Linked DNA regions of Drosophila melanogaster. The protein of the gene in region 1 interacts with the protein of each later gene in a pairwise test. Each region holds a gene or a part of one and is shown on either strand. Other genes may lie near its edges. The genes, in order: CG8079, beag and CG15914.

Region 1 (7,526 bases):
GGCCGCATCGTTCGCCTGCAACCAAGTTAAGAAAAGAAATCCGCGTTTTTATCGCACATTCTGGACCTTGACTCTTACCTAATGCATTGCTACGCATTCGGTCTATGCGGAGTTTGTGAAACCCCGCTAAAAGACTACTATAGGCGCAGTCGCTCAAAGGCTGCGCAGCGAGGAGGAGAAGAACAGTGGTTAATGTGGTCGTATGGCATTGAAATCCGCAACTACACCCACTCACCTGTACCTGGGCCTGAGAGTGGAACTCGTACGAGTCTTTGGCGTGATCATAGCTGTAGTAGCAGCCGTTGTTACCATCGTAGTACAGCCCGTACTCCTGCGAGGAAGAGAAAAGCAGGTGTAGATTAACAACAATCCGAGCCATTGATGTAGGTTTGCCAGCGCGATAACCCCTGAAAGTCATCGCGGTGCAGTCACTGCATCGCGGAATAGAACGGGACGTCATAAAGATTGCGTCCGCTGTTTATAGCTTATTTACCGCGTTATAGTAGTATCCCGTCTTGGGATCGTAGTACATGCCAGAGGTGTGCTCGTAAACGAAGTTGTTCAGGTTTTCGGCGTGCTTGGCTGCCTGCCTCATTTCGTCCACAAAACTGAAGGCGTCCGTCGCCGATACTGCAAATATAAATTATTTTCCAAACATGACTTGTAATGTTTTGATGGTTATTGATAAGGTTTTATAAATATTTAAGACAATATAGAAATAAAAACAGAAACCTGTGGTGAACGACACGAAAATGAGCAATGTTATCAGCAGTTTTGAAAAACATTTCCTTATTTCAACTTTAAAAATAGTCGGAAATGGGTTGTAGTTATCTTTACATTCATAAATTAATGTTTATAGTTATATGTATTTAGACGAACTATAAAGTAGCTATTTAAGTGTTAGTATAAGAATTCTAATTATTTTTCTAATCCCCTGAGTTTTGCGTAATCATATTAATTCTATTAAGAGTAGTGTCAAGGGCTGCTCGGATTTTTGTCAGGGGCAGTGGCGTTAGCCCATGCGACACTTCAGTGCTTATCTCGGGCATTACCGGCATGGAATGTTTGACGTACTCGACCTAGGACCCCGCCAATACTCCTCAATAGATAGACAAGTGGGTGGGTTGCGCTTGTAAGATGCGGTCCTTGAAACGGCCTTATCTCATCGTAACTAAGAAGGCGTGTTGCAGCTAATATCGCCCTGTGACAATTTATGGCTTTTAGAAAGTAAAAAAGTGAAATACGGCCTTGGCCATTTTTTCCGGAAATATGGCACTCTACGAAAAGTTATACAACAATTTAGTACAACGGAGGACACCTTATTTGTAGATACTGAAACACTTTTTAATAGTAATCTCTTAATGGATTCTTGTGCCATGCGATCGGTGTCCATCCGGGATTTATTCGCAGAGTTAATTGTGACATATTTCCTCCTTTCCAATAGTCGGCTAAAGACGATCTACAATTAATTTGTAGGGTGCCGAATCTGAAGCTATTGCCACCAATTGACAAGCGGCAAACGAGACAACGAGCGATTAGCATGTCGCGCAGTTGTAGTTTCAGATTCGGAATCCGCAAATCAGCTACTTAGGTGTGTTTTCGTTTTTAATTTGCTACGCAGCGCCCATATTGCAGCGGCAGCAGTTGTTTCCAAGGCGCACTGCATCTCAACGCCTGGCTCTTATCAGGCACCCAGGGCAACTCCAAATCGCCGTGGGCTCGCCAGGCGCCTGGTTAGTCGTTACTCATCGTTCGAGGCGGTTACAACTAAGACAGATAGATTAGCCAAGCAAAATGCTGGACGCGGAGGTGCGAGAACTTATGCAACCCTTTGTGTTGAGTGATTACCAGGTGCAGGAAGTGTACAGTCGCTTTTGCCTGGAAGTGGCCCGTGGACTTAAGCGGTCCACGCATCCACAGGCCAACGTCAAGTGTTTTCCCACGTACGTGCAGGATCTGCCCACGGGCGACGAGATGGGCAAGTACCTGGCCCTGGATCTCGGCGGTACCAACTTCCGAGTACTGCTCGTCTCGCTGAAAGGTCACCACGACGCCACGGTGGATTCTCAGATCTATGCCGTGCCAAAGGACCTGATGGTGGGGCCCGGTGTGGACCTATTCGATCACATTGCGGGCTGCCTGGCCAAATTTGTGGAGAAACACGACATGAAGACCGCATATCTGCCACTGGGCTTCACTTTTTCCTTCCCTTGCGTGCAACTAGGCCTTAAGGAGGGCATCCTGGTACGCTGGACTAAGGGATTCGATTGTGCTGGGGTTGAGGGCGAGGATGTGGGCCGCATGCTGCACGAGGCCATTCAGCGGCGCGGAGATGCCGACATTGCCGTGGTGGCTATACTCAACGATACCACTGGCACCTTGATGTCCTGCGCCCATCGTAATGCAGATTGCCGGGTGGGTGTCATTGTGGGAACTGGCTGCAATGCCTGCTACGTTGAAGATGTTGAGAATGTGGACCTATTGCGCGCAGACTTTAAAAAAACGAAGCGGAGTGTGATTGTAAATGCTGAGTGGGGCGCCTTTGGTGAGGGTGGTCAGTTGGACTTTGTGCGCACCGAATACGATCGCGAAGTTGACGAAAAGTCTCTAAACCGATCGGAGCAGCTGTTCGAAAAGATGACGGCGGGCATGTACTTGGGCAACCTGGTGCGCCTTGTGCTACTTCGTGCCCTCGAGCGCAAGCTGATCTTTAAACAGAGCAGTCGACGTCCAGAATTCGCCAGCGTGCTGCAGAGAAACGAAGAGGTTTTCGAGACGCGCTACATTTCGGAAATCGAGGACGACTCCTTCCCAGAGTTTGCCAGCACAAGGAAGATTGTGAAAAATCTGTTTGGTCTAGAGAAGGCCTCCGTGGAGGACTGCCAGACTCTGAGATACATCTGCGAGTGCGTAGCTAAGCGAGCGGCTACATTAGTAGCCATCGGAGTCAGTGGGCTGGTGAACAGGACTTCCAACCGCCGCGTGATAGTCGGCATGGATGGCTCCGTCTACCGATACCATCCAAAGTTCGATGCCTACATGAGGCAAACACTCCAAAAGCTGGTGAAAGCAGACAAGGAGTGGGACATCATGCTCTCGGAGGACGGATCCGGACGTGGAGCTGCGCTGGTGGCCGCGGTGGCCAGTAAAACAAAGTAGGAACTCACTACTATTGTAGCAATAATAGAAGGACTCAGTGTAATAAAACAAATTTTAACTCACAATCGTTGGGCTGGTCTTTTTTGTTAGTATCCTCATCGTTTTCCATGGAATACTGGCATTCTTGTAATTCCGATTCAGTTGCTTGGCTGGCTTTGTCACACGAAACCTTTTCTTCCCGGCTTACCTTTAAAATAGATCAAAAATTAAGACCATTTTAGCTCAACCTTTAATTGGGACTCACGTAGTGTAGGAGTTTTTGTTTATAGGACGCCAGTTTGGTGTCGTATTTGCGGATAATCCCGTGCAGCTTTTCGACGTACTGCAGTAGTTGTTGCTGCTCGCAGGTTTCCAGGTCCTGTATGCTCTTCAATTCGATGGAATCGTACTTGGCGACAGTGTCCGCCAAATCCTCCTCTTCAGCCGGTAACGACATTGTTTAACAACCGTCGAATCTAAATCAACTTTTTATAGGGATCACAAGCCGATTTGGGGAGTTTCAGCTAGAGATGGAGAAACATCGATGCTAGCATGGATGTCATCAATGTTTTCAAAAAATCGCATTCATCGATGTTTTCGAGGAATCATCGATGTTTTTCCATCTCTACATCGCATCTGAGGAGAAAAGCGTATAAATTGTAAGTACAAATTAATTTTCCATATCTTCTAATACAATTATTAATACCATATTGTGGCGTCGTGATAGACATGGAAAATATCTGAGAAGAAAGTTTTTAACACCCGAAAAAGGCTTGCACATATGAATGCATGTCATATGCACGTCTAAATGTATATACATGTATGTATGTAAACGTGCATTTGTCTTATAGGAGCAATTACTGGACCAGCGGAGGATGAAAAGGTGGACACCAAATACTGACGTTTTATTTAAGCAACATTAAAATAAAAAGCAATTATTTTTATTTAAAGCATCGATGTTTAAAACGTCGATGTTATTCGCCAAAAACATCGACATCCGCCAACATCTAGTTTCATTTCAACTAACAGTCGTTTTAAGCACTGGTGGCTGCAAAGTTAATCGATTTATTAAGAGATGGTTGCTTTTACACATAAAAAAAATATGCCTAGTTTTTGAAAAAAAAAACAACTTAGTTCTTATCAAGATAAAATAAATATGGCAACGGCCTAAAAGAAAAAAAACTTTTTCGGTATTTTTAAAAAAACAAGTAGTTTAATAGCAAATTGGCTTCCAATACATTTCCAACTGGGATTAATTGTCTATCGAAAAAAGTGTCATCTCTACCCAACCAAACAGCTGTTCCCTCATCTACATTTGTTATTTAACCATTTTGGTCGCCGAAAAACGAAATAAGAATGAATAATTGTATTAAAGTAGTGCCCATTGCCCTAAGGTGCCAGCAGAGGACCATCAGTACTTCATCCGTGCTGGAGGGCAAGCGGAACTTCCGTAAATTTAACGCATACAACAAGCGCGGTACGCGCGTGGTAAAGGAAGCCCAGAAAACACTGGCCAATCCGCCGGTAGCCATTCACAAGCGAGGTGTACGAGACACGGGCATACTTGTCGACGGGCAGTATGTGGAGATTCCCGAGAAAATTCCGGACATCATAGTTCCCGATTTGACCGGTTGTAAGCTAAAGCCATACGTGTCCTATAAGGCGCCGGACGTCGTCCAGTCGGAGTTCACCAGCTTGGATCTCTTCAACGCCGTCTACTCGCAGAAGATTATCGAAGATTTCAAGGCGGGAAAACTGCAGAAGGACGGCAGCGCCAAGGAGCCCTCGGTCAATGAGCAACTGACTCCGGAGGAGGCCTTGCAACGCGCTCGAAAGACGGGCAGCGATATATTCTAGACATAGGTTTATTGTTTCTTAAATACAGAGTCTAAACTCGACTACTCCTGCATGTACTTTTGGCGGTAATTGTACAGCTTGCGCAGCCACTTCTCGGCCTTCATATCCGGGTCGCCCAGGAACTGTCGGAATTGAAAATCAGATACTATTAGCATGTATATTCGAGCACCAGGTAACCCACTCACGTTCGGATGGAATATTACATCTTCGTTTCGGACTGCAGTGGCTGGCTTGCTGGCGACTGTGACCGTTTCATTGTTCAGATCTATGATCACCTTATCGGATGTCTCCTTTGAATCCCTGGAGCTAAAAAATGACTCCGGCTTGAAGGTGTCCTCGTCTATAGTCTCGAGTGCCTTTTGCACCTTGGTGTCGAACAGATCGATGGCCTTCACGGGAGCAGCTGCGGGTGTGGTTGCGGATCGGGAATTGCTTTCCGAACTTGGACCCCTGGTTTTCCTCTGCGAAATAGACCGCGATTTGTGATGATCCCTGGTTCTGCTTTTGCTGTGCGTGCTGCGGGAACTACTCCTGCTGCTGGAGGAGCTGCGCGAGGTGCTGCGACTGCTACTGCGACTCCTTCTCGAGTACTTTTTCGACTTCTTGGCCTTTTTCTTCTTCGGTTTTGAAACCTGCCGGCTGCTCCTGCTGGGCGACTTTGATCTGTGTCGTCTGTCGCGGTCTCGCTCTCTGTCTCTTTCTCGGTCCCGATCTCTATCCCTCTCTCTGTCGCGATCTCTGTCACGGCGGTCGCGATCCCTCATAATGTGTCCTTTATCGGCAGTTAATTATTTATTTAGTTTTTTATTTATGTTATATTTCTTGTGTGCCGGACGTCGCTCATTCCCAAAATACAAAATCGCCTGTCAAGAAAACGCAACATTTTTACGAATATTCCAGCTGGCCACACTGATTGTGTCAACATGTTTACCGCCTATCGATTTTTGGACTTATCGACCGATTTTAATTTAAACTAATAGGCGCGAATTTTAATTATAGTAATCACTTTAAAATATTTAACTTAGAACTATGTGTAATATTAAATCAATTAATTCTTTTTAACATATTCATTTAATATACTACATTTATTGAGTTTTGTCCTTACCGGCTTAGCATGTCAGTTTACAGACTGATGTGGGGTCTTTTAATGTCCAGTTTGCCGTACGCCCAAAGCAGGAAATACTAATTGCTGATTAACTCTTAGCAATTATACCTAATCAGCAGTTATCAAGATTATAGGAGACCTTATCGCTGATGACCACTAGCCATTCGTTAAATCAACTGGGATCGAAATTCCCACACGATCTATCAGTCTTGGCGAATCAAACCATTTTGCAGGCAAAAATAAACAGTCATAAATTAGGCAGCCAAATCTAGGAATCCTTATCAAGTTCCTGGGGGGCATATAAAAGGCACGGGCGGCCAAGTCAGCGGTCAAAGCACCTGCACCTGTGGAATACAAAATGTTGGTGGTTCAGCTAATTGCGGTTTTTTTAAGTCTGGGCTTGGCTAATGCCCTGCCTGCGGATACGGGGCGCGCCAGTTCGGTGACAACTGTAAGTTTTAGGATGCCATGTTCTTTGGCACCCAAAAGTCCTTACTAACCACTATATTGCTCTACTTTCCAGGTCACCATTGTTAGGGGACACGGTTACGAAATCGAGGAGCACGAGGTGCAGACCTCGGATGGTTACATCCTCACAATGCACCGCATACCGTACTCGAAGAACACTGGGTACGATGGGCCACGCCCTGTTGTCTTCCTTATGCACGGTCTGTTGTGTTCCTCCTCGGATTGGGTTCTTGCTGGACCTCACAGTGGGCTGGCATACCTGCTGTCCGAAGCGGGCTACGATGTGTGGATGGGTAATGCCAGAGGCAACACCTACTCCAAAAGACACGCCAGCAAGTCGCCGCTGCTGCAGCCCTTCTGGAATTTTGAGTGGCACGATATCGGAATCTATGATCTGCCCGCTATGATGGATTACGTCCTTTACTGGACAAATGTGACTCAACTTACGTATGTGGGTCACTCTCAAGGAACCACATCCTTTTTTGTGCTCAACTCTATGATTCCGCGCTTCAAGAGTCGCATTCGATCTGCTCATTTGCTCGCTCCTGTGGCCTGGATGGAGCATATGGAGAGTCCTTTGGCCACGGTCGGTGGACCACTGCTTGGTCAGCCCAATGCCTTCGTCGAGCTCTTCGGCAGCGCCGAATTTTTGCCAAATACACAGCTAATGAACCTGTTCGGGGCTCTCCTCTGCAGCGATGAGGCCATTTCACAGTTCATGTGCACCAACACCCTATTCCTGCTGGGCGGCTGGAACTCGCCATATATCAACGAGACCCTGCTCCCAGATATTATGGCCACCACTCCGGCGGGATGCTCAGTAAATCAGATCTTCCACTACCTGCAGGAGTACAATTCCGGATACTTCCGGCAATTCGACTACGGATCTACGCGCAACAAGAAGGAGTACAGCAGCAAGACCCCGCCGGAGTACGATGTGGAGGGCATCGATGTGCCC
Region 2 (7,526 bases), on another chromosome or scaffold:
ATCCCTCGCCGGAATGCAAGCCAAAGAGTGTCGTCGGGCCCTTTGCATTGCGTGTGGTTATATTCTTAAATGCTAAGCTAGTCAGGATAGGGCTCAGGTCATATTCAGGTTCAGGTCTGTTTTTCCGATACCTTTTGAGAATCTCAAAAATGTCTTCTTATCGAAGATCAATCCATTTTTACGGTTTTAATACTTTTATAAATTCTAATGACATGTTTAGGTGGGAAATCGCTGCAATATTTTCAAGCTAGGTAACCAGAAACAAATTCTACTATTTAATCATTTCCGGCTTTGTTTTCCCCATTTCCTCAAACCACTCTTGGCAGTGTAAAGGGCTGAGCTTCGGTTTTCCGAAGCTGAAAGATACAAACTTTACCGATACCCATTTTATACAAGTCGCCCCACCATCCTCACACTCGGACTTAGCGTAGTGATTAAGAATAGCATTCCCGCGAAGGTAATTACATTTAATCAGTGTCATATTTCTAAGCATGCAGGAAACGTTACATGTTAGAGAGCAGCACTAGGTGCACCCATCCAGCTTAAGTAGATGCAGCTCGCACACCAACTGAGAATCACAAGCAGTGCGTTTCGGGACTGTAAGAGCAATGCAATGCAAAATAAAGAGATCGATTTTATTTGATTGTCGAACCCGTTTTAAAGTTCCCCAACATTTGGCCTTACTCGATGGAAATTAAACTCGCGTTGCGCCAGCGGTCTTACAGTTCTGAATCCCACTGTACCAGCGCTATTGCCGCACATAGTCGATAAGTCAACCTGCCAAGCTCCCTAAGGACCCTCCCCTTAGTTCCCAACTCCAGTAGCAGTTAAATTAGTGATAACGTTGCTAAAATATATTTGAGAGCATGTAAGATTAATACAAGTACGAGCATACTTATATTTAATGTTTTACAGAATTACATTACAAATATAGAATAATGTTTCAAGAATTTCTAGTACTTTGCGGATTTGTAATCGGGTTCATCGCCACCAGCACCGCCGCCTCCACCGTCCTTTGGCAGTTTTCGCTTTTGAATGATTGTCTAAATGGCAAAGAAAAATAAATATTTTGTATTGATCATCGACGAATCCTTTGGGATATACATACCTGAATCTTTTGCCACTCCCTATCGAGCTCGGCCTTCTCGTTCTTCTCCGTCTTGTTCTTGCGCGTCTTGCGACCGTCCTGCATCTTGACCCCGTACTGGAAGGCTGCCTTGGGCAGCGCCTCCTTCGTGCTCATGTAGTCGGAGTACTCCTCCTGCGTGTCAAAGTCCCAGCGTCCAATGGGCCCCTTTTTATTGCCCAAATCCATCTTGGTGTAATCCACCTCATCGTCCGAGTCGTCGATGGCGTCGTTCATCTCCTCCAGCCCGGGATAGCATTCTGCGTATCCCTCGGGTTCAGCGAACCGTGCGGCCATGGCCTTCGATATCTTGGGTGGCGGGGGAATACTGGATATTATCGGCTCCTCTGATGCCTCCGGCGGGCCGTCTCCAAAGTAGGACGGGGCGGACTTGCCTTGCTCCTGGCGGTTTCGCTCAGGTCGCGTGGCAGAAGGTTGGTAGTCCCCTATATCGTCGTAGATATTATCGCCCAAGGGAGCTGATTTCCCTCCCATGTTCGATGAGGACGAGGTGGCGTGCCGACTGGAGCCACCATTGCTAGACGACCCACGAAGATTTTCCACCTCCTTTTCGTAGAACAGCGGTTTGTCCTTGTCGCGCTTTTTGTTCTTCTTGTTGCGACCACCGGCACGTAGATAGCTCAGGATTTGGGACAGCTTGTTGATCACAATGTCATTGGTGGTCAGCGTGGCAACATCCTCTTGTGACACCGGCACCTCGAACTTGGAGCGCTTCAGTGTGGTTGGAATATCCGACTCCCCTAGCTCGTCATCCAGGTCGATCACATAGGCCATCCGTCCTGGAGCAAATAGCTCATTGCGGGGAACTTCTTTCGAACGCCTTGCCTGCACTAGATTGTAAATATTGCGCGCTAGTGCACCATTGATTGCATTAATATCCTCCGACTCGCGGCGTTCCGCTTCCAATTGCTCAGCGGCGGCAGCTGCTTCGGCGAGCTTTTCCCTTGCCACAGCGGCGGCAATCTCCTCCTCTTCCGCTTCCTTCGAGTGCAGCTCGGAGCGCACTTTTTGCAGAAGGGCGTAATCAAGACCCTTCACCAAATGCGTATGCTGGATGTCTCCACCCAAGAACTTGGACTCCTGAATGATACGTCTTCTTCGCTCCTGGGCATCGATTCCGGATTTCATATCTGGCGCTACAGCTCGATACGCATTGGTGCTGCTTCCGTGTCCCGGCGTGCTCACGTTCACGTAATCTGGATTGGCACCATCGCGTCGTTCTCGTGCTCGGTCCCTGTACTTCTCGGACAGCTCTTGCAGCTTCACATCCTCCTGCTTCTTGAGCGCCGCATAGAAGTTCTTTTTCTTGCGACGCAGATCATTCCGCTCGCTGCTGCTCTGACCCTTCTTCTTTTCGCCACTCAATCCTGTCGTGCCGGGGGCGGTGGAGGGCGTGGCAAAGGTAGCAGTGGCCAGAGATCCTCCAGCGGAGGTGCTGCTCGTCCCGGAGCCAGGAGGAGGAGCTCGGGGCGTCGCTAGCAGCTTGCGGAAGTCATCGTTGGTTAGTCGCACCGAAGGCGGTGCTTCCAAGTGGGCATCCGACATGGCGAAGAAAATTCGAAGAAAACTCGCAGAGAAAATCTATATTTACAAATTGTGCTTCTTCTTGGTTTTGCCTGCCAGGGTTGGCTGTGTTTTTGATTTTTCTCCGTACTGTAATCGATAACATGTTTACAGTGATGGAAGATTAGCGTTTTTAGCGTTTTTTCCGAATAATTACGAATATTTGAAAATCGATTCCACATTTAGCATCACTGTTTCTCATAATGTATTGTTATTATTGTTAAACTACAAATGGAGCAGTTTCTTAAAGGTCTGCCCAAAGTAGAGCTCCATGCTCACCTCAACGGTTCCTTGGGCATCAAAAGCCTATGTGATCTTGGCGAGCGATTGTATGGAACCTCTTGTAAAGATTTCCTGAAGTTGTGCGCGCACTTCAGCCGATTTGAAAAGGATATGGATGCATGCTTCGAGAAGTTTGCATTTGTGCACGAGTTGACCTCCACCCGGGAGGGTCTGCGATTTGCCACGGAGTTGGCGATTCGAGATTTCGCTGAGGACAACGTCCAGTATGTGGAAATGAGGACCACTCCTAAGGCAAACGAGAACTATTCACGCAGGGACTACCTGCAGATCGTGATCGATGCAATTAAGGCAGCTAGCGAAACGTATCCAGAGATAACAGTCAAGCTACTGCCCTCCATCAATCGAGCGGAACCAGTGGACGTGGCTGAGGAAACAGTTTCCCTGGCTGTGGAGTTGGCACGGGCTCATCCAAATCTTATCTTAGGCATCGATCTTAGCGGTAATCCAGGGAAGGGGCGGTTTTCCGACTTTGCTCCTATTCTTGCACAGGCCCGGGATAAGGGTCTGAAGTTAGCTATACACTGCGCCGAGATCGAGAATCCATCGGAGGTAAAGGAAATGCTGCACTTTGGAATGTCCCGCTGTGGACATGGAACTTTTCTTACTCCCGAGGACATTGGGCAGCTTAAACAACGAAATATTGCCATTGAATGCTGCCTCACTAGTAATGTTAAGTCGGGAACAGTGCCCAGCTTGGAGGAGCACCACTTGAAAAGAATCATGGAGGCAGATGCACCCAAGGTTATCTGCACGGACGACAGTGGCGTTTTTGATACCACTTTGACAAAGGAGTTTCTGATTGCTGCGGAAACTTTCGGTCTAACCCGTGAACAATGCATCGATTTGACCTTGGAGGCAGTGCATCATTCATTCGCCAGCGAACAGGAGCAAATACAGATGGCGGATAGGGTGGGGAACTACGCAGACATATTGGTCAAATAAAAAAACTGTCACTGCCCTAATTGAAATAAATAAGTTTTTGTATGTAACACCATATATGTACCAACCTGATTCTTATTTGTCAAAAATTTTACCTTTTAATATCATTCTTTTTATTCAATATGTAGAAGTATTTAGTTACAAGTTTGTTCATTAGTTATGTTCATCCTTCGTACGTACATATGTGGCTAATAAGTTTTTATGTTTTTCTCATTTAATATCATTCATAATTGAATTCAAGTTTTCTGTTCATTACTTTATGTTCTCGTTTCTGCCGTTCTGTGTGGCTTAGTTTGGGGGTAGGCATTCAAAATACAATGGAGTACAAGCTTTGGTCAATAGTGGGCTCTTAAACTGCACCAAGTGAAGTGGACGATCGAAATCTAAGGAAACCAAAGTAAGACTTAAATGATCGAAATCTGTAGTTTAATAGCACATTTTGAAACAAACTTTTTGGGTGAAGACATCTTTATAGTCGGACCCTCCACCTACCCAAGCCTGCAGATTAGCTTTCAGTTGAAGTGGTTTGCCTGCCTGGTATTCCCTATATACAGTTTATCTATATTTTATACTTTTAGTTTGGTTTTAGCTTACTGCTGTGTTTCTACATGAGTTTTACTACTTTATCCAGTTCATTCCAAATGTCGAGCTTCAAGAAACGACCGACTTGGGAGTTTATTTATATTGTATAGAAGTGTTTTTACCTCAACTAGAGAGTTCAATTACAAATCTATATATTTATATAAAGGTTTACATTTCTACACTTTGGAAAAATTCTACTAGTTGAAAATGGTATGGTATGGATTTTGCTGTTGTATTCGACTTTATTTAGGAGTTCGGGCATAGGGTTTTAGTATTCTTGCTTTTAAGTATGTATAATTTTTTTTAAAATGTACGGCCTGGTAAAAGTTTAGCTTGCCAAGGCTTATAAAAAAATATGTCTTGTTTACTTACTGGCTCATTTATAAAAGTCGACCATTTTTGGGTAATATCATATAGACAGCTAGCCTGCTCATATATAAAAAATGCGCCGTATAAAATGCCTCGAACTTGCGCTTTCATTTTTGGTTGTTGTGCCATTTTCTGCAGATTTGGAAGGGCTATAGAGGTTATGGTACGTGTATATTATTTATCTATATTTATTTTCAATGTAATGCTATTCTCGTTAATTGCATGCCGTATTAATATCAATTTTGATTTCAGTTTTGTAGTCATCGCAGCCTTCCATTGAAGCCAATCAGTTGAAACTATGTGTGGATGTGTGCATTTTGGTGTGAGGAAGAGACAATTAAATCGGTTCGAATTGAGAAATAAAACGTTTTCTTTTTGCTACATAATAAACTTGTTTTATTTTTTTCACAAAGAAATTAGCATTAATCGTATTTTGTATAATAATAATAAACATAAAAATCTAATGCATTGTTAAATCAAATGCTCGAATGCAATGCTGTCCAAATTGTAGTTATTTAACTTGTGCCAATCGCTCGCGGTTTACAAAACTAAAGGTCTCGCTCTGTGTTTGTATATTTGAATTTCTCCGTGTGTTCGAGTGTGTAACTACAAAATATTATCGTAATTAATTAATTACTGTTTATTTATATTTATATGTATGTATATGCTTTAATATATATTTATATTTATATATAATTTATAGTTTTACTTGACGCCAGCTCTAGCACATGTCATGCCTTTTAATTTCCGCCATCCTTCCTTCTTTCATTCTTTCCTTTCTTTTTACAACAAATTACAAAAGGTTTATTTATGTCCTTAGCTTAGTTTACAAGGTTCTGCTGTCGAAAAAATTTTACAAATTTTTGCTTCTGCGGTATGCTTTATATTTACTTGAAATCTTGGTTATCTATAGGGCTTTATCGTATTGGGCTTTATTTTGTTTTTACACTTTAGTTTGCGAAAATTTCAAACCAATAGCCGAAGGGTTTTCTGATTTCGCAAATTCAAAATGACCCACTTGTTTTTGCCTTTGGCATACAAAGAAATGCTTGCTTAATTCGCTTCTTTATACGATTACAAGTTTACAGGGAGTTTTTCGTACATTTTAAGTTTTATTGTTTACATTTGTGGTTGTTAAATATTGATCCTTTTTAAGTGGAATTCGCTTTAGATTTTTAGATTTCGACTTGTATACCCAAGTGTCTTACATGCGTGCAAAAAATTGTTACTGTAAAAACTGGGCGTGTGTAGAATACGCCAGCATACGTGTAAATTTCACTGTGCCACGGCACTTCCGCTACTCTACACATGTATTTTACATATACATTATTTTTCTTTTTTAAAAAACGTTTGCCTCACGTCAAGTTCAAAACTAAGTGTAGTACATAATTCTATATGCGTGTATATATGTTTAAATATTTATAGGGATTCGCTGGCTTACACTAACTACTACAGCTAAGCAGCTCGCTGTGTCCTTTGTGTCTGTGTGGGTGTGTAGATGTGTTGGTGTTCGTGTCGGTGTGAGTGTGGGTGTTCGGTGTATTTTACACGTCAAATGTACACGGCGTGTAGCAATGTGTTTAGCCTACAGAAAGCATCTCTACTTGCATTGTTCACTCCGTATCGAACTCGAGAATCCTAAATACAATGTTCATCTATGGATTATTTAAATTAAAATTATCAGTGCATTGCGCTCTAGAGACAGGCAGTTGACAAGTTAATAACTAAAAGTACCAAACAAATAATACCGAGCCCTGCTTGCGCTGTCGCTTGAAATGCGCTCACTTGTTCAGAGACAGGATAATACGGATGTTGCAATGTGGTCATGTTCAATGGGATGGATTAGGGGTAATGGTAAATAGTGAATGATTAATGGTTAATGGGATGGGTGTGTTGGGGGGAAATGTACAGAAAATTACAAATGTTCAATGACTGGTATCCTTTGCTTGTTATATACAAAATACGACAACGACAACGACGACGGTGACGACGACAACAACAACGACACGACAACGAATTTGTGTGTACAAAAATATGCATAATACACTTTACATTGATCTCCAAAAATTGTTTTACATTGGATTTTTGTGTGTTTCGACGAAACCGACAAAAAAGTCTAAATTCGATTTTCTTACCATCTCTCGTTTTCATTATTTTCAGTATTTTAGTATTTGGAATAAGGCGTCGCGAAGTAATCTAAATTTATATCAAAAATGTACAAAATTCTTGGTATTGTTACTTTTTACAATATTCGTTCGTATGTATACATATACAGTTTTTGTTTGCAATTTACAAGTGTTTCGATGACGTTTTAAAACAATTTTATACACTTACGTGAAGGAAGGGTTGGTTAATTATTTAGTATGCCGCACAGCGAATGCATTTCAAGCTTCGCAGGGAGCAACAAGCGCTTTCTGTCTAACATAACAAAGTTAACTCTCCACCTGATTTCGTTCAGTGTGCAGTTGCGAAAGCATAGTGTCGATTTAAATATACATATACATATATCATACATTAAGGTGGGCTAGCAAACATAAAAGGGTCTCGGAAAATTTTGAAAAAAATTGGTTTATTTTGATGGTTATTGTTTTAAAATCCAATTATTATCATTTTTGGCTTACTT
Region 3 (7,526 bases), on another chromosome or scaffold:
AGCTTGTTACTTATTCATGCCTACACAAATAATTAAGCAGACATTGTTTAACGTGCCTTGCATAAAGCATTTCAAGAAAAATTGTTACATTAAACCATCAACTTAAAAAAAATATTCCCCAATTTTCCTTGAAATTTGTTTTTAGTTCTAGGCTAATTAATCAAATAACCACCAATGCACCCAAAATAGGATAAGCTAAGGATATATTAGATTATTTATTTATCATTGACTTTAAGTTAGACTTTACAGATAATATTTTAAAACTTAACAGAAGAAAACACTTAAGTTCTAATTAAATGTGTATATATACAGAACAAAAATTTCTTTAATATTCTTTAACGCATTAAAGAATCGATCTGACAAGTAATTGCTGATTTTATTTAGTTTTTCGGTAGACGCACACTTAAAAGCAGAACGCAATGGGAAAATTACTTATTCTTGCACATAATTAGTTTTCAATATTTTCGACATATTTGAAATAAGTGTTGTAATTACCCATTCTCTAATTAGGTTAACAAGTCCGGTTTCTAAAAGCAATTAGCATTGTATTCGTATATTACATGTTATAAATATGCAGTCTAGCAACTTTAATACAGAGTATACGCATTTTGCACATGCTCATGAATTCCTGTGTGGTATATATATAAAATATATATTGTATGTACATTAATAGTTGAAACAAAGCGCCTTGTTGATCCAGACATACATTATTATAGTTTAATAAATATACTTCTGACTGCACAAAAATGTAATTTATACATTCATATTTGTTTTTATTTCGGTTGTGGGTGTTTTTTTTTTTTTCTTTTTTCTTTTAATGCAAATTAGTTTAAATATTACGCTATTATATAATAATTTAGTTACAAAATAGAGCAATTTGTCGAACAGCATCGTCCAGAACCGCCTTTACTATTTTGTCTTTGATCTAAAAGAGGAGGAAAATTCAGTAAGATGTTTTTCGTATGCATTGCGAATTTAAATTTGAGCAGCTCTTTATAATTGAAACCATATTTCTTTTTTTTTTTTTTTTTTGAAAACCTACCTTGTGAATTGGGCTCTGGCAAATTATCACGTGGCACTAAATGCATAACAGTCGTTTTGCCTAATGGAAGTCCCAGTGCTCCTAAGGTTACATTGCAATGAAGAAAACGACCTTGATAAATTAAGCGCAAGATTTCGGCTTTCGACACAGTTTCGTGGGTCCAATCTGCAAGATATATGCACAATAATGTATTACATGGGTTTTCGCATCAAAAGTCTAACTCTAAAAGCAAAACAACTAAGAAAGAATTGATTTTAGAGGCCAACAAGCTGACAATATTTAAACAAACTTCAAAAGTCGCATTTATTTGAAATATCCAATAGATGCCATAAATATTAAATATTTCGTGGGTTGTATCCTTGTATCCTTGTGACTATGATTAAAGCGTTCTCAAAATAAATGCAGTTCACGCGAAAGGGTCAATAGCATGCCATTTAGAAGAAATATGTATATTTCACTCTATTTGTATTACGTAGCTTACATACTTAATCGTTAGTGATTAAAAATCATTCGCCGACAAACTTAACACTAAATTCACTCACCTTCTGGCCAATTATCAAATACTGTTTGTGCAATATCACCTGCGGAATCTGAAGGGCTAAAAATAAACTCTTTTGTTTTACCACTAACAAGAATGAGGCGTAGGTTAATCTGAAAAGCAAACGGATATTATTGCAATTAAATTCTTTTATATGATATAGTTTATAGTATATCGTTTTTTTATGAGAGCTCAATGAAATTAAATGTAAGTCCTGCCAAAAAGATTTAAAGCTACTCAACTAAATTGATATAAATCTGATAGCTGATTTATATATATATAAAAAAAAAACATCTTTGTAAATAAATGATTCAAAGTGCAATATGCACTCAGCTAAGAGTTGCGTAAAAGGAATCGAAGGTTGCTTCTATCTCATGTTACGTTTTACATATATGCATTTTTGCTCAGGTATTTATGCTACAAATTGTCGAAGTAACTGACGGCAACTATTCAATAGCCAGCCACCCAGTGTGCTCAATAAATGCCTAAAATAACACTTACTTTATCAGATGGTATTGTTCGGTGCATTTTCTGTGTGGTGGTGGCCAATGGGGTGGTGATATTGGCCTTGACATTGGCGCAACAATGGGTGGCGACCTCCGATGGGCTAAGGATTCCGGATCCGCAACCATCGGCGGCCAATGGGGATGAGGGTTCCGAGGAGGTCATCGTGGGCGAGAAGTTGCTCAGCTGATGATGGGGCTTTCCCTGGTAGCGCAACGATGGGGGCTTCTGGACCAGCGCGTACGACTGTCGTTGATGATGTACTGCTGCTATGGTATCGGTGCAATATGAGTACGGCAAAAAGGATTGCTGCTGCTGCTGCGACTGCTGCTGCTGATGATGATGTTGGTGTTGATGAAGCTGATGATGTTGATGGTGGCTATTGCTGGCCGAGGAGGAGCTCTTCTCCTTATCTTTCTCCCTCTCGGCGGTGGTGACCAGTGGCGATGTCGCAGACCTTATCGCCCCAAAGGAACCAGAACTGGAGGCGCTCGACGAGGATAGCGAATACGAGCGCTTGGAACTCAGGGATTTGCGCTTTTGTTGCTGTCCTGCTGCTGCTGCGATTGCGATGGTGCTGCTTTTATCCTGCTGTTGCTGCTGTTGTGGCTTCTGTTGCTGTTGCTGCTGCTGATGCTGATACTGTTGCTGAATTGCACTTGCTGTGGTTGTTGGCTTCTCAATCGAAGATGTTACCGACATGGCGAGAGGGTTGCAGTTCGTATTTGTATTTTGTGTCTTCAAGTGATTCAGTAATTCACTGACTTAACTGCCCATCCGAATTCGAAATGGGCAAGTTTCCAGGTCGCATGTAATCAGCACAATCAATTGCCAATGCCATTTTGCTATTTCCATGGAACATTGAGCATTTTTCGTTGGCGATACCCACCAGGATTTGATGTAACTCGATTCGATTATTCGCTGGCTGCACTACAATCGTACATAATAGAATACGACTACATAGCTCGGTTGAAATACACTTGAATTTTAATTGGATTGCGTTCAAATGGCTTTTCCAATGAATCCGATTGTTTTGCTTCTTTTTTTCTCAATGTTTTCTTCATATATCTGCGCACTAATCAGTGTGCACATGCATATATATATATATATATATATATATATGCGAATGTGTTTATGCCCAAATTGTAGACACTAAAATAAGGTAAAAACAGCAAGGATTATGAATGCGTACACTCGACAGTACGGATATTACATCAATGCTATTGGTCTGCTATGGTAAACTTATTGAATTTTTCTCAATTTTATATCAATGCCTTTGTACACACACATACGCATATGCATATATGCATATGTACGTATGTATGTGCTTGTGTAGTTGGTATTGGATAAAAAAAAAGCACTTTCGCGTTTGATTTTTTTTTCCCGTGCGCTAAGTTTTCAGCTTCGATTGTTGGCATAATCAGCAGTCAGAAAAGATTTTATCTACAATATACCTATGATTCACTTTGGTTTGCTTTTCAACATTTATCTTGGTCCGAGATGACACAATTTTTAATTTTCCTATAACGACACGATGGTAAATACTTATACATACTCAATTTTTGCATTTACAAAATCGGTGTGACCAGCGTGCGAGTGACGTGAACAGCCAATTCGAGGCGTTCTCCACTGGTCGGTATATTTTCGCATTGCACAGGTTGTGCATTCAAACAGCTGATAAAAACAACACCCTTCATTGTTTATTTTAAACCAATTGGGGTAATTTAATTAGCCTAATTATGTTAAATAAATGTTTTATAAATTGTGTAGTGATCAATTCAAAAATAAACAACATTTAAAATAATTAATATATTTGGTAATTGTCACTCACTCTGGTCACACACCAAGACCGTCTATCATGTCGTGCGCAAAGCCGCATATTTTGATTATTGAACCGTTTTACGGGGGCAGTCACAAACAGCTGATCGGCGCACTGATCGAGGGTACACATATATACATACTTAGAATATTACAACTAGACATACAAACTTCACTCCAACTTATCATCCAATTTGTAGGTCTCAACCATGGCGACAGCGAGATATTCAGCCTTCCCGCCAAGAAATGGCACTGGCGAGCACGCACCTCTGCCCTCCACTTCGCCCAGCTGATTCCGCGCGATCACGCATTCCGGGTGCTTTTCGCCAGCTCCGTGCTCAGCCTGGCCGAGCTGATTGGTCTGCGTCCGGATCTGGCCGCTTGCCGGAAGATCGTCTACTTCCACGAGAACCAGCTGATCTATCCGGTGCGCGAGGTGAAGCAGCGCGATTGTCAATACGGTTTCAATGAGATACTCTCCTGGTAGGTGACCATCCTGTATACCCAACTTGCATCCATAACCCATCCATTTTCAGTCTTGCCGCAGACATGGTGCTCTTCAATTCCCAATTCAACTGCAACTCGTTTTTGGATAATGTTCAGCCCTTTCTGAATATGCAGCCAGACTTTAAAATCAAGCATATTCGCGAGCAAATCGAGAAGAAATGCCAAGTGCTGTACTTTCCCGTCAATTTCGAACGGTTTCCCATTCGGAAGGAGTGCGTAAAGGGGGAGACTGCTGAGGATCTGGATGAGAAGTGCATCCATCTTATTTGGCCACATCGCTGGGAGCACGATAAGAATCCCAAACTACTGGTGGATACGCTCTGTCAGCTCCATGAGCGACAAGTGGACTTCAAGGTGACTATTTGTGGCGAGAGTTACCAGGAGATACCGGAGGAATTCGAGCATATACAGGAGAAACTGGGCAGCAAGCTGGTGAACTTTGGCCATCTGGAGCGTGAAGAGTACTTGAAGACCCTGCTGACTGGGGACATTGTGATATCAACTGCCGACCATGAGTTTTTTGGAGTAGCAATGCTGGAGGCCGCTTTCTGCGGCTGTTATCCCATTGCGCCCAACAAATTGGTCTACCCGGAAATCTACCCAAAGGAAAACCTCTACAACACCTCCAATGCGCTGACGAAGAAGCTCTACAACTTTTGTAGAATGCCGAGGGTCTTTCGCAAGCAGCGCGATCAATTCTTTGAGAACTTTAATTTCGATCGTTTTTCGGCGAAAGAACTAGTGCCAAAATATCTGGACATATTCAATAAACATATTGCAGACGAACAAAGTTAGAAATCGAAGGTTTGGCAAATGTCTATCAAAATATTCTCTGTAATATAATAGATATATTTTTGAATAAATATATCTCTCTTCTGTAACCTACAAAGCCAAAAAAAAACGATATATATATGTAAGTCCTTTGTGTTAAAACACGCTTCATTCACTTTAAGCATTTATTTATTTATGAAATATCCGAAAAAAATGGGATACAATTTAAGGTGGATGTAACCAATAATGCCATAAATGTAGCACAATAAATTCTATTTCGAAAACACAATTTGGATGAAAATTTGGGGATTCATATCTACAATATTATAAAGATGATGCGTATAGAATTTTGTTTGTAATACCTGAATATAGCCACATAGAATTTAGAGCGAACCAAAGCGGTCGAACGAATTCACCAAACACTTTTGTTTCTCGAAGTTCAGGGAGCGCGAAATACAGGACAGATTTTTGAGGCACGCATAAGCCTGCTCCTCCATAAACATTTGATCTCTGGACTTGCCACAAGCGACGCGTGCCCACTTGGGATCAATGACATGATCGTAGGTCAAGCCACCGCGGTACTTGTTAATTCTGCGATTATGGAATGGTCGATTCTCCTTTCTGCCCTCGTCGAACGGCAGGTCCTGTTCGCTGCACAGCGTGTCCTTCAAAATATCGCCCGGCGATGTGAGAAACTTGCTGGGCGTCTCGGTTTCGAAGGGTTGAATCCTCTTGGCGGAGCCAGCGTTGTATGGATGATTGGAGCTCCAAGTTGAGAGCAATGACTTCCTGGCACGTTTCATATGCGGCGGCGACTGAGCATTGTATTCGGTGCTTAGCGTTGAGTTCTGATCGGCGGCGCCCATCATTTTGGAATTGTTTGCGGTCAGCGAGTTGCTCAGATGCTCTTCATGGATGATTTCGGCCAGATCCTCCACCAGACTGGATGGGCTGGAGGGCTCGTATCGACGACCGTCCCTCTTCTTGCCGATGGCAGCAAGTGCCTTTTTGAAGGGCGTTGGTGTTCGTGGTCCAAGTTGACCTACAAATAACGATGATTGTGTGTATTCAAGATGCATTTGAAGCCAACAGTGGCTTGTACTTACTCTTGTGTGGAGTTTCTATCGACGATGTCTCCATTTCCTTTTTGATCTCCATTCCAACGCGATTATAGACCTTGGTTACCGGCGTGCTAGCCCGCAGATCCATATCTTCAAAGGTGGTCAGGCAAGGCGACTTGAGGAAGTGACTCGGTGAAAAGGGTAGCGACTTAATGGGCGATATGACGGGCGAACTCGGTGGTCGCGACCTGGCGTTTCCGGCGGCTTCTTCCTGGTTGAATGTCTCACTTGATGAACATCCTGCCTGATGGTGAGTTTCGGGAATGTGTTTGCGTGTACGCTTCAATATGATCGGTGTTTGGCGCGGCATGGTCAACTTAATGAGATGCTGCATACTGAGGTGTGCCAGATTGGATCCCTTTTGATGATCGTCTTGTGATTCCTGTGCCAGATCACCACCTTTCACGGCAGTAACCGAAGCGCCATCGGCGTTTTCGGATTTATTAACTGCCTCACCACCAGATTCCTTGTTATGTTGCATATTATTCATACACTTGCTGATGCCACCGGACTTGATCAGCGTGATGAGATGGGTTCGCGAACTCTTCAAATCGCTACCAGATGCATTAACCGATCTGCGTTCGACGTCATATTTGCGACGCATTGTTGAATTCCAATGGTTTTTAATGGCGTTATCGGTGCGTCCGGGCAGACGTTTGGCAATCTTTGCCCACTGGTTGCCCAGCTCCAAGTGAGCCTGGTAGATAATCTCGTCCTCCTTTTCGGTCCAGGCCGTTTTCTTGATATTCGGATTGAGGTGGTTGTGCCATCTCTCGCGGCACTGTTTCCCAATTCGTCCGTTCAGATATCGTGCAATTAGTGTCCATTTCTTGGGCCCGAAGTTGCGCACCAGCTTAATAACCATGTCGTCCTCGTCCCGCGTCCACGGGCCCTTGATTAGCTCCGGATTGAGGACTTTGGCCCAACGCTGCTGCACTTGCTGTTCCAGGCGATCCTTGAAATGCGGTCCGATAATCTCCCAGTTCTCACCGTGCGTCTCCACCAGCTGCTTGAGCAACACATCCTCGGACTTGGACCAGCGTTTGCCGAATCCATAGTTCGGATGCACTGCACCGATGCTAGTTTTACCGCTTTTGTTCTGTCCCTTTTGCCCCGTCGTCTTGGAGTCCTGTAGTTCGGGCGAGTCCAGTGGATAGCCCGAATCGGCATTGCTGTTCTGTTGTGAATCCTTGTCGCAAACTTGGGTATCCTCGTTCTCCGAGTA

The links.
Region 2: the proteins of CG8079 (region 1) and beag interact in a two-hybrid assay, tested with the Drosophila melanogaster proteins (one large-scale study listed by BioGRID).
Region 3: the proteins of CG8079 (region 1) and CG15914 interact in a two-hybrid assay, tested with the Drosophila melanogaster proteins (one large-scale study listed by BioGRID).

Annotation. Positions count from the first base shown.
Region 1 is NT_033778.4:15,214,533-15,222,058, reverse strand, and holds the start of CG8079 (uncharacterized protein), read right to left. Parts: upstream 3,679-7,526; 5' UTR 3,596-3,678; coding exon 3,404-3,595; intron 3,347-3,403; coding exon 3,223-3,346; exon of another isoform or gene 3,160-3,222; coding exon of another isoform or gene 1,795-3,159; exon of another isoform or gene 1,730-1,794; intron 631-1,729; coding exon 494-630; intron 332-493; coding exon 236-331; intron 161-235; coding exon of another isoform or gene 16-160; coding exon 1-15. Other genes in the region: Hex-C (hexokinase C), read left to right, coding at 1,795-3,159; mRpL41 (mitochondrial ribosomal protein L41), read left to right, coding at 4,495-4,995; CG11808 (uncharacterized protein), read right to left, coding at 5,037-5,117, 5,181-5,759; CG8093 (uncharacterized protein), read left to right, coding at 6,459-6,551, 6,624-7,526.
Region 2 is NT_033777.3:9,062,298-9,069,823, forward strand, and holds beag (beag), read right to left. Parts: upstream 2,782-7,526; 5' UTR 2,693-2,781; coding exon 1,109-2,692; intron 1,044-1,108; coding exon 954-1,043; 3' UTR 835-953; downstream 1-834. Other genes in the region: Ada (adenosine deaminase), read left to right, coding at 2,942-3,955.
Region 3 is NC_004354.4:15,849,504-15,857,029, forward strand, and holds CG15914 (uncharacterized protein), read left to right. Parts: upstream 1-3,917; 5' UTR 3,918-3,942; coding exon 3,943-4,027; intron 4,028-4,102; coding exon 4,103-4,385; intron 4,386-4,438; coding exon 4,439-5,204; 3' UTR 5,205-5,467; downstream 5,468-7,526. Other genes in the region: UBL3 (ubiquitin like 3), read right to left, coding at 861-925, 1,043-1,207, 1,585-1,693, 2,082-2,786; Myb oncogene-like, read right to left, coding at 5,564-6,222, 6,287-7,526. UniProt on the Drosophila melanogaster protein: Glycosyltransferase that specifically catalyzes mannosylation of cytoplasmic tRNA(Asp) modified with queuosine at position 34 (queuosine(34)). Mannosylates the cyclopentene moiety of queuosine(34) in tRNA(Asp) to form mannosyl-queuosine(34).